Linked DNA regions of Oryctolagus cuniculus. The protein of the gene in region 1 interacts with the protein of each later gene in a biochemical or structural test. Links are inferred from orthologs where the notes say so. Each region holds a gene or a part of one and is shown in the gene's direction. Other genes may lie near its edges.

Region 1 (3,648 bases):
CAGGTCTTCCATCCGTTGGTTCACTCCCTAGATGGCCGCAACAGCCGGAGCCACACTGATATGAAGCCAGGAGCCTCTTCCAGGTCTCCCACGTGGGTGCAGGGGCCCAAGGGCTTGGGCCATTCTGTGCTGCTTTCCCTGGCACATTAGCAGGGAGCTGGATCGGAAGTGGAGCAGCTGGGACTCAAACCAGCACCCATATGGGATGCTGACACTGCGGGCCAGGGCTTTAACCCACTGTACCGCAGTGCTGGCCCCGCCCACCTAGATTTAAGAGCCTTGCGTTAAGACTGAGTGACAATCAAGGTCTTTGCTGTTCACGAGTCATCTGTAATTCTGTTTTCTTAAGGTGATGGAGGAGGATTTGCAGGGCTCCTCCCAAATTAAAGAAGAAACAGATTCTACAGAGCAGAAACCAGAACCAATGGAAGTGGATGAAAAGAAACCCGAAGTAAAAGTGGAAGCTAAGGAGGAAGAAGAGAGCAGCACCAATGGGACGGCCTCGCAGTCAACATCCCCTTCACAGCCACGCAAGAAAAGTAGGTCTTTGGCTCTGTGACCCGTGCGCGGTGCTTCCACACTGGGGATTGACAGCTACAGCAGACCAATAATCCTGTGTTGCTTGGCCTGCCATTCCTCACGCTGCACTCCTTAGCAGTGGTGTGGGCTGGGCCCTGTGTGCGCAAGCCCTGAGCCGCCTTCCTGAGAGGCTGCCCACAGTGCACGGCTGGCTTTAGACAGGTTGGCCCTGGAGGTACAGGGAACGTGCCTTGGGTCATCCAGCAGGCAGAGGAGTTGGGGCTGACTCGCGCTGTGGGAGCACCAGTGATGGGCTCGCGGGGCAGAGCAATTTCAAGGAAGTGGCCACTGTGTGCACTTGACTGGGCAGGGGTGAGGGTGGTTTCTGCTGGTACCTTGAGGAGTCCCGGCTGCTGGAGCACACGGCGGGATCATGCCTGGTGATGTGGGTGCTGGGCAGGGTCGGGAAGCTTTGGGATCTTAGATGTGTGGAGTGATCCAGCCGCGCAGTGGCAGGTGAACAGACCCAGCCCATTTGGGTTGCATCCAGAGTGTCTCTTGAACCTGAGCACTGTGGGATGGGAGAAGGGTCAGGGCTGCTGGCGACACGTCGAGGAGAGTGTCTCTTGGACCTGAGCACTGTGGGATGGGAGAAGGTTCAGGGCTGCTGGCGACACGTCGAGGAGAGGTTTCGGAGAGAATGTGGAGGGGGAGCTGCGAGATGCTGGAGCACAGCTGGCTTCAGGCCTGCTCTTGGTCTTGACAGTTGGAGACCCCAGAGCTTCTGTTCGTGTGGATTGCCTGTCCCTGTTCACTCTCCTAGAAGTCACTTGAGGGGGTACAGCTTCTGTGTGTTTGCCATACGTAACACACTTTATGAAAACTACCTTCTAAAATGAGAGTAGTGATGTTGCTCTACCATTTTGTTTCTCTCTGACGAAGTTAGGGACGCAGCTGGGTCTGACCTGGCCCTCAGTTGTTTTGTGAAGCAAAGAGGGTTTTAGTGCCCTTCAGGTCATTGTGGATATCTGCTTTGATACTTCAAGTGGGACTTATCTTTTCTCTTTTTGTTAAAATTCATGTATTCACTTGAAAGGCGGAATTAAAGACTGACACAGAAGGGTTCACTCTCCAAACGGCTACATTGCCCGAGGCTGGGCTGGATCTCCAGTGTGGGTGGCGGGGGCCCAGGCAGGATTCAGACCAGAGCTCTGATGTAGGGTGCTGGTGTCACAGGCGGCAACTTGACCTGCGGCACCACAGCGCCAGCCGGGCGGTGATTGGAGAAGGCCGCTTGCTGCGTGGAGTCTGAGCCCACAGCAGTGAATTTTTGTGCTTTCTATGACTGGAACACACTGGCCCATCTTGCATTTTGAAGGATCTTTTGTGTTTGGGTGATTTTTTTTTTGGAGGGGAGGGGTGTGACATCATCCTTAGGTCATCTGAAAAGTACTAGTTTTGTGATTTATGTAGATTTTTTAAGATTTATTTATTTATTTGGAATGCAGGGTTACAGAGAGGTTGAGACAGAGAGAGAGGGGTCTTCCATCTGCTGGTTCACTCCCCAGATGGCCTCAATGGCCGGAGGAGCTGCGCTGATCCGAAGCCAGGAGCCAGGATCTTCTTCCAGGTCTCCCATGCGGATGCAGGGGCCCAAGGATTTGGGCCATCTTCTGCTGCTTTCCCAGGCCACGGTAGAGAGCTGGATTGGAAGAGGAGCAGCTGGGGCTTGAACCAGCACCCATATGGGATGCTGGCACTACAGGTGGGGGCTTTACTTGCTATGCCACAGCGCCGGCCCCCTGTAGATTTTCTTTCTTTATTTTTTTTGTTAAAGATTTTATTTATTTATTTGAGAGGTAGAATTACAGACAGTGAGAGGGAGAGACAGAGAGAAAGGTCTTCCTTCTGTTGGTTCACTCCCCAAATGGCCGCAACGGCCAGAGCTGTGTGTATCTGAAGCCAGGAGCCAGGTGCTTCTTCCTGGTCTCCCATGCGGGTGCCAAGGACCAAGCCCTTGGGCTGTCTTCTACTGCTTTCCCAGGCCATAGCAGAGAGCTGGATCGGAAGAGGAGCAGCTGAGACTAGAACTGACGCCCATATAGGATGTCAGTGCCACAGGTAGAGGATTAACCTACTGCACCATGGCGCCGGCCCCACCCCCTATAGATTTTCTAAAGGTTGACGTGTTTCACTATCAAGTATAGAAAAACTCTGTTCATTATTATCACCATCGGTCTTCAAGCAAATCTTAGGAACGTAGAGGCGCTGTCAAGCCCCGTGGCAGATGGAAGTCTTCCCAGACTCTTCATTGTGGATGAAAGCCCACATTTTGTCATTGGCAACAAACACTGTCAGTTGTTCAAATGTGGCATGACTATTTTTTTTCTGAATAGTTGTTAAAAATACGTAAAATCCATTCTTAGTTCCTGGGCTGCACAGAAGCGAGCAGCAGGCCAAATGTGGCATGTTGGTCATTGTTTGCTAGTCCTTCATCTGGAAGAATGGAAAACCTATTGATGAAACGATTGTTTTCTTATAAAGAGTTATGCAGGCCGGCGCCACGGCTCACTAGGCTAATCCTCCACCTACGGCGTCGGCACCCCGGGTTCTAGTCCCGGTCGGGGCGCCGGATTCTGTCCCGGTTGCCCCTCTTCCAGGCCAACTCTCTGCTGTGGCCAGGGAGTGCAGTGGAGGATGGCCCAGGTCCTTGGGCCCTGCACCCCATGGGAGACCAGGAGAAGCAACTGGCTCCTGCCATCGGATCAGCGTGGTGCGCCGGCCGCAGTGGCCACTGGGGGATGAACCAACGGAAAAGGAAGACCTTTCTCTCTGTCTCTCTCTCTCACTGTCCACTCTGCCTGTCCAAAAAAAAAAAAAAAAAAGTTACGCAGATAACCAAATGCCGCTTCGTCTCTGTGTAAAGCAGATTGGTGGAAGCCAGGACACCTGGGGGCGCCCAGGTCTGCCAGTGCTGGTGTGTCGCGTGGGGGCCGAGCGTGGGTTTTTTACTGCACGCCTGCACCCGCTGGCCTCCGAGGGTGCTGTGCAGCCAGGTGTCCTGGAGACAGGATGGCTGCTGGGGATGCTCAGGAGACTCCGTCAGCCCTGGCTGATGAGAGTCTAAAG
Region 2 (2,782 bases), on another chromosome or scaffold:
CAGCTGGATGTCTTTGGGCATGATGGTGACGCGCTTGGCGTGGATGGCGCAGAGGTTGGTGTCCTCGAAGAGGCCGACGAGGTAGGCCTCGCAGGCCTCCTGCAGCGCCATGACGGCCGAGCTCTGGAAGCGCAGGTCCGTCTTGAAGTCCTGCGCGATCTCGCGCACCAGGCGCTGGAAGGGCAGCTTGCGGATGAGCAGCTCGGTGGACTTCTGGTAGCGCCGGATCTCGCGCAGCGCCACCGTGCCGGGCCGGTAGCGGTGCGGCTTCTTGACGCCGCCCGTGGCCGGCGCGCTCTTGCGGGCCGCCTTGGTGGCCAGCTGCTTGCGCGGCGCCTTGCCGCCTGTTGACTTGCGCGCTGTCTGCTTAGTACGAGCCATCTCGCGCCGGTGGGACTCAAACTTCTTGTCTGCGGCGACAGAGCTGCCTTTAAATATCGTTAGGACTACTGTGATTGGCTTCCGGATTTTCAAAAAATCCGCGCGACAAACTCATTGGCTAAAGGAGGAACTTCGATGATTGGTCCACTCAGACAACCTGATTGGCCGGATTCATCCACTGTCCGTTTGGGATGGTAGACGTTTTCTAACATCTGGATCATTCCATCTCAGAAGCGTACCTAACCGTGGAGGGAGATTACCTCAGTAACAGGCCCTAGCGTGGACCCCGAAATCCCTAATTACCTGGGCCTGCCGTCTAATAGCGCCCGATAAACACTGAGCCACGGAAAGGTGCCCTGACTTAAGGCAAAACGCGTTTTACGTTTGAAACAGCTGCACCTCGGGGGCTATTTCCCGACTGACACACCCCCCGTCACTGTGTGGCCTTTCATCCGTCACAATAAATACACGTTTCACTTGTTTCCACAGTTTTCTTAAGCGCTAACGCTATCACCATGGGAAGGACTAATTCCAGTCAGGGTTAGCAGCTTTTTTGTGAAACAGTGGATGGCCCTGAAAAGAGCCTTTGGGTATTTCAAAGCGAGAGTTGCGTCGTCTTTACTGTGGTTTCACTTGCCCTTGGCCTTGTGGTGGCTCTCGGTCTTCTTGGGCAGCAGCACGGCCTGGATGTTGGGCAGCACGCCGCCCTGCGCGATGGTGACGCGGCCCAGCAGCTTGTTGAGCTCCTCGTCGTTGCGGATGGCCAGCTGCAGGTGGCGCGGGATGATGCGCGTCTTCTTGTTGTCGCGCGCCGCGTTGCCCGCCAGCTCCAGGATCTCGGCCGTCAGGTACTCGAGCACGGCCGCCAGGTACACTGGGGCGCCGGCGCCCACGCGTTCCGAGTAGTTGCCCTTGCGCAGCAGGCGGTGCACGCGACCCACGGGGAACTGGAGCCCGGCCCGGGAGGAGCGGGTCTTGGCCTTGGCGCGCGCCTTGCCGCCTTGCTTGCCACGCCCAGACATGGTACAGCCAAACACGCTTCGCAATCTGAAGTAAAGAAAACCATACCCGCCAAGACTGTGCTTTTATAAGCAGCGCAGGGCTACTACAGTACGTCATCCTATTGGTCGAAATAGGTTCGCCTTTTCTGCCCAATAGGAAAAGACAACCCGGATACCTTATTTGCATAAACAACCCCCCTAGAGAAAATTTCTTTGTTGTCCAATCAGAAGTGAGAAGTCTCAAACCCTCATTTGAATTACGGGACTATAAATATATGCACTCCGGCCTGTCATCACTAATCAGCTGTAGACTGAGTCTGTTTTAGTCTCTCAGCCAATATTAAAAGCAATGCCTGAACCCTCCAAATCCGCTCCCGCCCCCAAAAAGGGCTCCAAGAAGGCGATAACAAAGGCGCAGAAGAAGGATGGCAAGAAGCGCAAGCGCAGTCGCAAGGAGAGTTACTCCATCTACGTGTACAAGGTGCTCAAGCAGGTGCACCCCGACACCGGCATCTCGTCCAAGGCCATGGGCATCATGAACTCGTTCGTCAACGACATCTTCGAGCGCATCGCCGGCGAGGCCTCGCGCCTGGCGCACTACAACAAGCGCTCGACCATCACGTCGCGCGAGATCCAGACGGCCGTGCGCCTGCTGCTGCCTGGTGAGCTGGCCAAGCACGCCGTGTCCGAGGGCACCAAGGCTGTCACCAAGTACACCAGCTCCAAGTGAGCTCCCGAATTGGCGCCGCCGCCCCTCACCCCAAAGGCTCTTTTCAGAGCCACCAACTCTTTCACAAATAGAGCTGTGGCCGACGTCCTTGTATTTTGCTCCTGTTGAGGTGGGTTTAGGTCGGGTGTTAGGGCTGGCGTTAGTGACGACCCCAGAACGCGTGTTTATCCCGTGCAGGTCGGCGCTGAGTAACCTTAGGGCACTTTGGTCGGGGTCGGGGACTGGGGTTCGCGATGTGATGGGAGATGCGCATTTCGTGAACTCGGGTTCGCATGAGCTTTGAAGAGCCCCCTCTAACATCTCCAGCTCCTCGACAGTGAAATGGAGTGAAATTCCTGCAGTTCTCCCTGTTACCTACCTGTAGCCACTAATCACGTCGGCTAAGCAGTCCTTGAGTCTTCAGAAATCCATGGATCACCTATTGGATGGGGCGGATTTTTCTCAAGAATGGAGCCTTGATACTGGCTGGAGTCAGGATGCGATCTGAATCCCGCGCCTTTCCTGGTTCGCGGCCAGCCACTGGCTGAGGGGAGGGGCCAGGGCGCGTCGGGGCGGAGGTTGGCCAGTGCCGTGGCTTTAGAGCGACTCTGGAGTGGTTCCCAGAGGTTCGCGCGCCACTGTGACCGACACCGCCTGTCTGGGCGCGCAAAACGCTGGTGTGAAAGAGAAG
Region 3 (3,693 bases), on another chromosome or scaffold:
TGGAGCGGAGAGGGGGCGACCGAGTGGAATTCCGCGCGGCCGCCTCCACCCCGCCCCGCCCCGCGCCCTGCCCTGCCCTGCCCTGGTCTGGGCGCCGAGCGGAGGTCGGGGCCACGGCAGCCGCTCGTTCCGCTCGGGCTTCGCCAGTCCACGGCTCGGCTCCCCCGTAGTAAACAAAGTGTCGCCGCCGCCTCCACGTTGGTTTGCCTCTCAGCAGTCAAAACAGTAAGAGGGCGAGAGACTCGCAGAAATACTCGAGAATTACCAGAAAATAATCACAAAAAGAGAGAGAACGTGCGTGTGCGCCAACGAGAAAAACACCCCACTACCCCCCTACCAACCCACAGCCGCCTCCTCGTGGAAAACCGGGCCCCTCCCCAGCCCTCTCCCACTGGCTGCTTGGGCGGCGGTGCCGCGCGCCCATTGGCTGCGCGGGCTGTCAATCGGGGGCGGGCCGGCGCGCGCGCCGCCGCGGGCGGGGGGCGGTGGCAGATCCCGTAAGTCGGGCAGCCGCGTAGTTGCTGCTGCCGCCGCCGCCGCCGCCGCCGCCTCCAGCGCATTCAACAGGCAGCTGCGCCGCGCTCGCGCCGCCGGCGAGAGCGAGCGGCCCGCGGTGTCCGTCCGTCCGTCCGTCCGTCCGTGGCCCTGTCAGCAGGAGCGCGGCCCTGGAGCTGCCCGGCTCTGGCCAGCCGTCCTGGTGGTGCAGCGAACCCGGAGCAGCCTTGGATGTTGATGGACCCACGAAGTTAAGTTCTGGGCTCGCGCGGCTACTCCGCTGCTCCTTCCTCCCGGTTTCCGTCAGCTCGCGGCACTGACTTCGTCCTCCCCCCATCCCCCCAGGATCTCGGGCCAGCCTTTGCGCCCCCTCCGCTCCGCGCTGCGCTCCCCCCCTTCTCGGCTCTCCGGCGGCTGGGGGAGGGGCGGGGGTCACCATGGCCGAAGCGCCTCAGGTGGTGGAGATCGACCCGGACTTCGAGCCGCTGCCCCGGCCGCGCTCGTGCACCTGGCCGCTGCCCAGGCCGGAGTTTAGCCAGTCCAACTCGGCCACCTCCAGCCCGGCGCCGTCGGGCGGCGCGGCCGCCAACCCCGACGCCGCGGCGGGCCTGCCCCCAGCCTCGGCGGCCGCTGTCAACGCCGACTTCATGAGCAACCTGAGCCTGCTGGAGGAGAGCGAGGACTTCCCGCAGGCGCCCGGCTCCGTGGCGGCGGCCGCAGCGGCGGCGGCGGCGGTGGCGGCGGCCGCGGCGGCTGCCACCGGGGGACTGTGCGGGGACTTCCAGGGCGCAGAGGCGGCGGGCTGCCTGCACCCGGCGCCGCCGCAGCCCCCGGCGCCCGGGCCACTGTCACAGCACCCGCCTGTACCCCCCGCGGCTGCTGGGCCGCTCGCTGGGCAGCCGCGCAAGAGCAGCTCGTCCCGCCGCAACGCGTGGGGCAACCTGTCCTACGCCGACCTCATCACCAAGGCCATCGAGAGCTCGGCCGAGAAGCGGCTCACGCTGTCTCAGATCTACGAGTGGATGGTCAAGAGCGTGCCCTACTTCAAGGATAAGGGCGATAGCAACAGCTCGGCGGGCTGGAAGGTGAGCGGCCGGACCGGGGCGCGGTGGGGCAGGTGCGGGGGTGGCTGGGCGGGTCGCGCGGGCGGCCGAGGGCGGGTGGGAAGTGGCAGGTGCGGGGGCTTGCCCGGGCGGAGGGGAGGCGCGCGCGCGCCGCAGAGTTGCGGTGGGACAGGCACAGGGGCGTGTTGGGGGGGAACTGAGGCGTGAAGAAAGTGCGTCAGGAACTGGGCGTCAGAGCGGGCAGGAAAGTTTGCCAGTCAGAGAGAGAAGGTTTCACGCGGAGCGGCTGCCCCTTTTGCCTCCCGGACCTCCGGCGGGGAGGGCGGCTCCTCTCCGCCCTCGCAGCGCGGGGCCGTTTCCGCCGCGCCGAGCGGTGGAGGGGGCGGCGAGGGGGGCACCCAAACCCGGGGGGCACGGCTGCAGGTGGAGGGGACAGCCTTGGGACGGTGCGGGGTCGGCCGCGCCACTTCTGGAGGCCGATGCGCTTTTGGCTTTGTTTTGGTTTTATCCCGGGTGGCCTCGGGTGCTGGGGTCCAGGCGCGCCGAGCCCGAGGGAGCGCCTCCGACACGTGCGAAGGGGCGGCCACCGCCTGCGGAGCGCCGGCGCCCGGCCGCGCGGGGCGAGCTAAGTTCAAGTGTGACCCTCGGCGGGGGCGGGCGCCGGCGGCGGCTGGGGAGGGGCCGCGGGCGCAGGAAGCGAGCGCCTTTAAAGGGCCAGCGCGGCGGGCCGGCCCCGGTCCACGCAGGGAAGCGCCCCAAACATGGGCTTGGCCACGGTGTGAGGCTAATAATTAGAAACACGGAGGCAGGCCAGGGTGGGTGTGTGTGTGCGCGCCCGCGCGCCTTTTCTTGGCCTCGCCACCTCAGTGTTATGAAGCGCTGGTGCGCCGGTGAGGGCCGACGCAGGGGGTTTTGTGACCCTTGCGGCCGGGGAAGTCGCAGAGGAGGTGCGCGTCCGGGCCACGGCAGGACATCCTGAGCGAGGCTGGCAAAGACTCGGGTGGGGGGTGGCTGGCGCATCCCTTCCCCGCCTTGAAGGCCGCGGGAGGACGCGCTCGGCGCGGGCCCCCGAAAGCCGACAGTTTCTCACGGTTTTGGATGTGAAAAGACTCGCTGCTTGAATCAGACCCCTTTCTCGCCTCGCCTGGCCCCTTAGCGTGACTGTACGGCGTAACACGGAGTGGTCTTCCCCGCGCGAGCGTTACAGCGACTGGCTCACATACCCTGTCGGTTCTGTGGTTAATGTGTCAGAAAGGTCAGCTTCCTCACATCTTATTGAGGTTCCTTGGAGAAGGAGTCAGGACTTTATTTTTCCTAACAGTGTTTAAGAGTAAAAGTATCACTTATAACCTCATTAGTAGGCATTACGTGCAGTTTTGCCAAGTGGTTCGTAAAAGTAAAGTGCCTTCTTGCTGTAGGCTCCTTGTATCTTGTGTTCTCAGTCACAAAATGAAGATTGTCAAATCCAATTTCACTTAGTATTGGAATTTAAGTACTTGACTGATTTGCTCATCTATCAATTCTATTTAAGCTATTAAAAAGCATTTGCAATTAAATTTTTTTTTTGACATTCAGAGTACTGTGTGTACTTAGCCATTCTTTCACGTCCTTGGAAATGGATACAACTTACTTCAACTTGCTGGAGTAGCTTTCTTTAAAGATAAGGGCAGTGTTTCAGGATATTTTTAGTTTGCCTCTCAAGGCATTGTCAAGGTATTCTGACACTAGGAATATAACTTAGAACTTTTTAAGGCTTAGACTTTATATGTATGTAAACTCTAAGGTCATATCACCCCCTTAACCATTTTCTTAAGTTCTTGTTTTAACATTTTTTTTTTAAAGATGCAGGTATAATTTTGTATTTTAAAATTGTCTTTAGGAGAGCTATTAAGTGCTGAGTAGGGACCATGTGCTGAGTGGCAGCTCCCAGAGGGAACTCCGAGCCTGGCCTTGGGAGGGAGTAGTCTGTGTTTGTCAGATGAGTAGATGTTTCAGGAGTAATGAAGAATCAGTTGGTGCAAGTCAGATTCCAGCAAGTGTATTTTCAGTTTGAGTAAAAGGGTATTTTAAGGAAAAAAAAAAAAAAAACCTGAACTGTTCTAACTCATAACTAGTCTTCTGGTTAGACATTTCA

What was found.
Region 2: of the proteins of CREBBP (region 1) and histone H2B type 1-B, one has a biochemical effect on the other in vitro, tested with the Homo sapiens proteins (2 studies listed by BioGRID). The link is inferred for Oryctolagus cuniculus from reciprocal best matches to the Homo sapiens genes CREBBP and H2BC3.
Region 3: the proteins of CREBBP (region 1) and FOXO1 form a complex in vitro, tested with the Homo sapiens proteins (3 studies listed by BioGRID, with this or other methods). The link is inferred for Oryctolagus cuniculus from reciprocal best matches to the Homo sapiens genes CREBBP and FOXO1.

Annotation. Positions count from the first base shown.
Region 1 is NC_091450.1:31,772,396-31,776,043, forward strand, and holds part of CREBBP (CREB-binding protein), read left to right. Parts: intron 1-349; coding exon 350-539; intron 540-3,648. UniProt on the Homo sapiens protein: Acetylates histones, giving a specific tag for transcriptional activation. Mediates acetylation of histone H3 at 'Lys-18' and 'Lys-27' (H3K18ac and H3K27ac, respectively).
Region 2 is NC_091436.1:153,352,330-153,355,111, reverse strand, and holds histone H2B type 1-B, read left to right. Parts: upstream 1-1,403; 5' UTR 1,404-1,731; coding exon 1,732-2,112; 3' UTR 2,113-2,168; downstream 2,169-2,782. Other genes in the region: histone H3.1, read right to left, coding at 1-381; histone H2A type 1-B, read right to left, coding at 1,011-1,403. UniProt on the Homo sapiens protein: Core component of nucleosome. Nucleosomes wrap and compact DNA into chromatin, limiting DNA accessibility to the cellular machineries which require DNA as a template.
Region 3 is NC_091440.1:72,838,291-72,841,983, forward strand, and holds the start of FOXO1 (forkhead box protein O1), read left to right. Parts: upstream 1-796; 5' UTR 797-932; coding exon 933-1,580; intron 1,581-3,693. UniProt on the Homo sapiens protein: Transcription factor that is the main target of insulin signaling and regulates metabolic homeostasis in response to oxidative stress.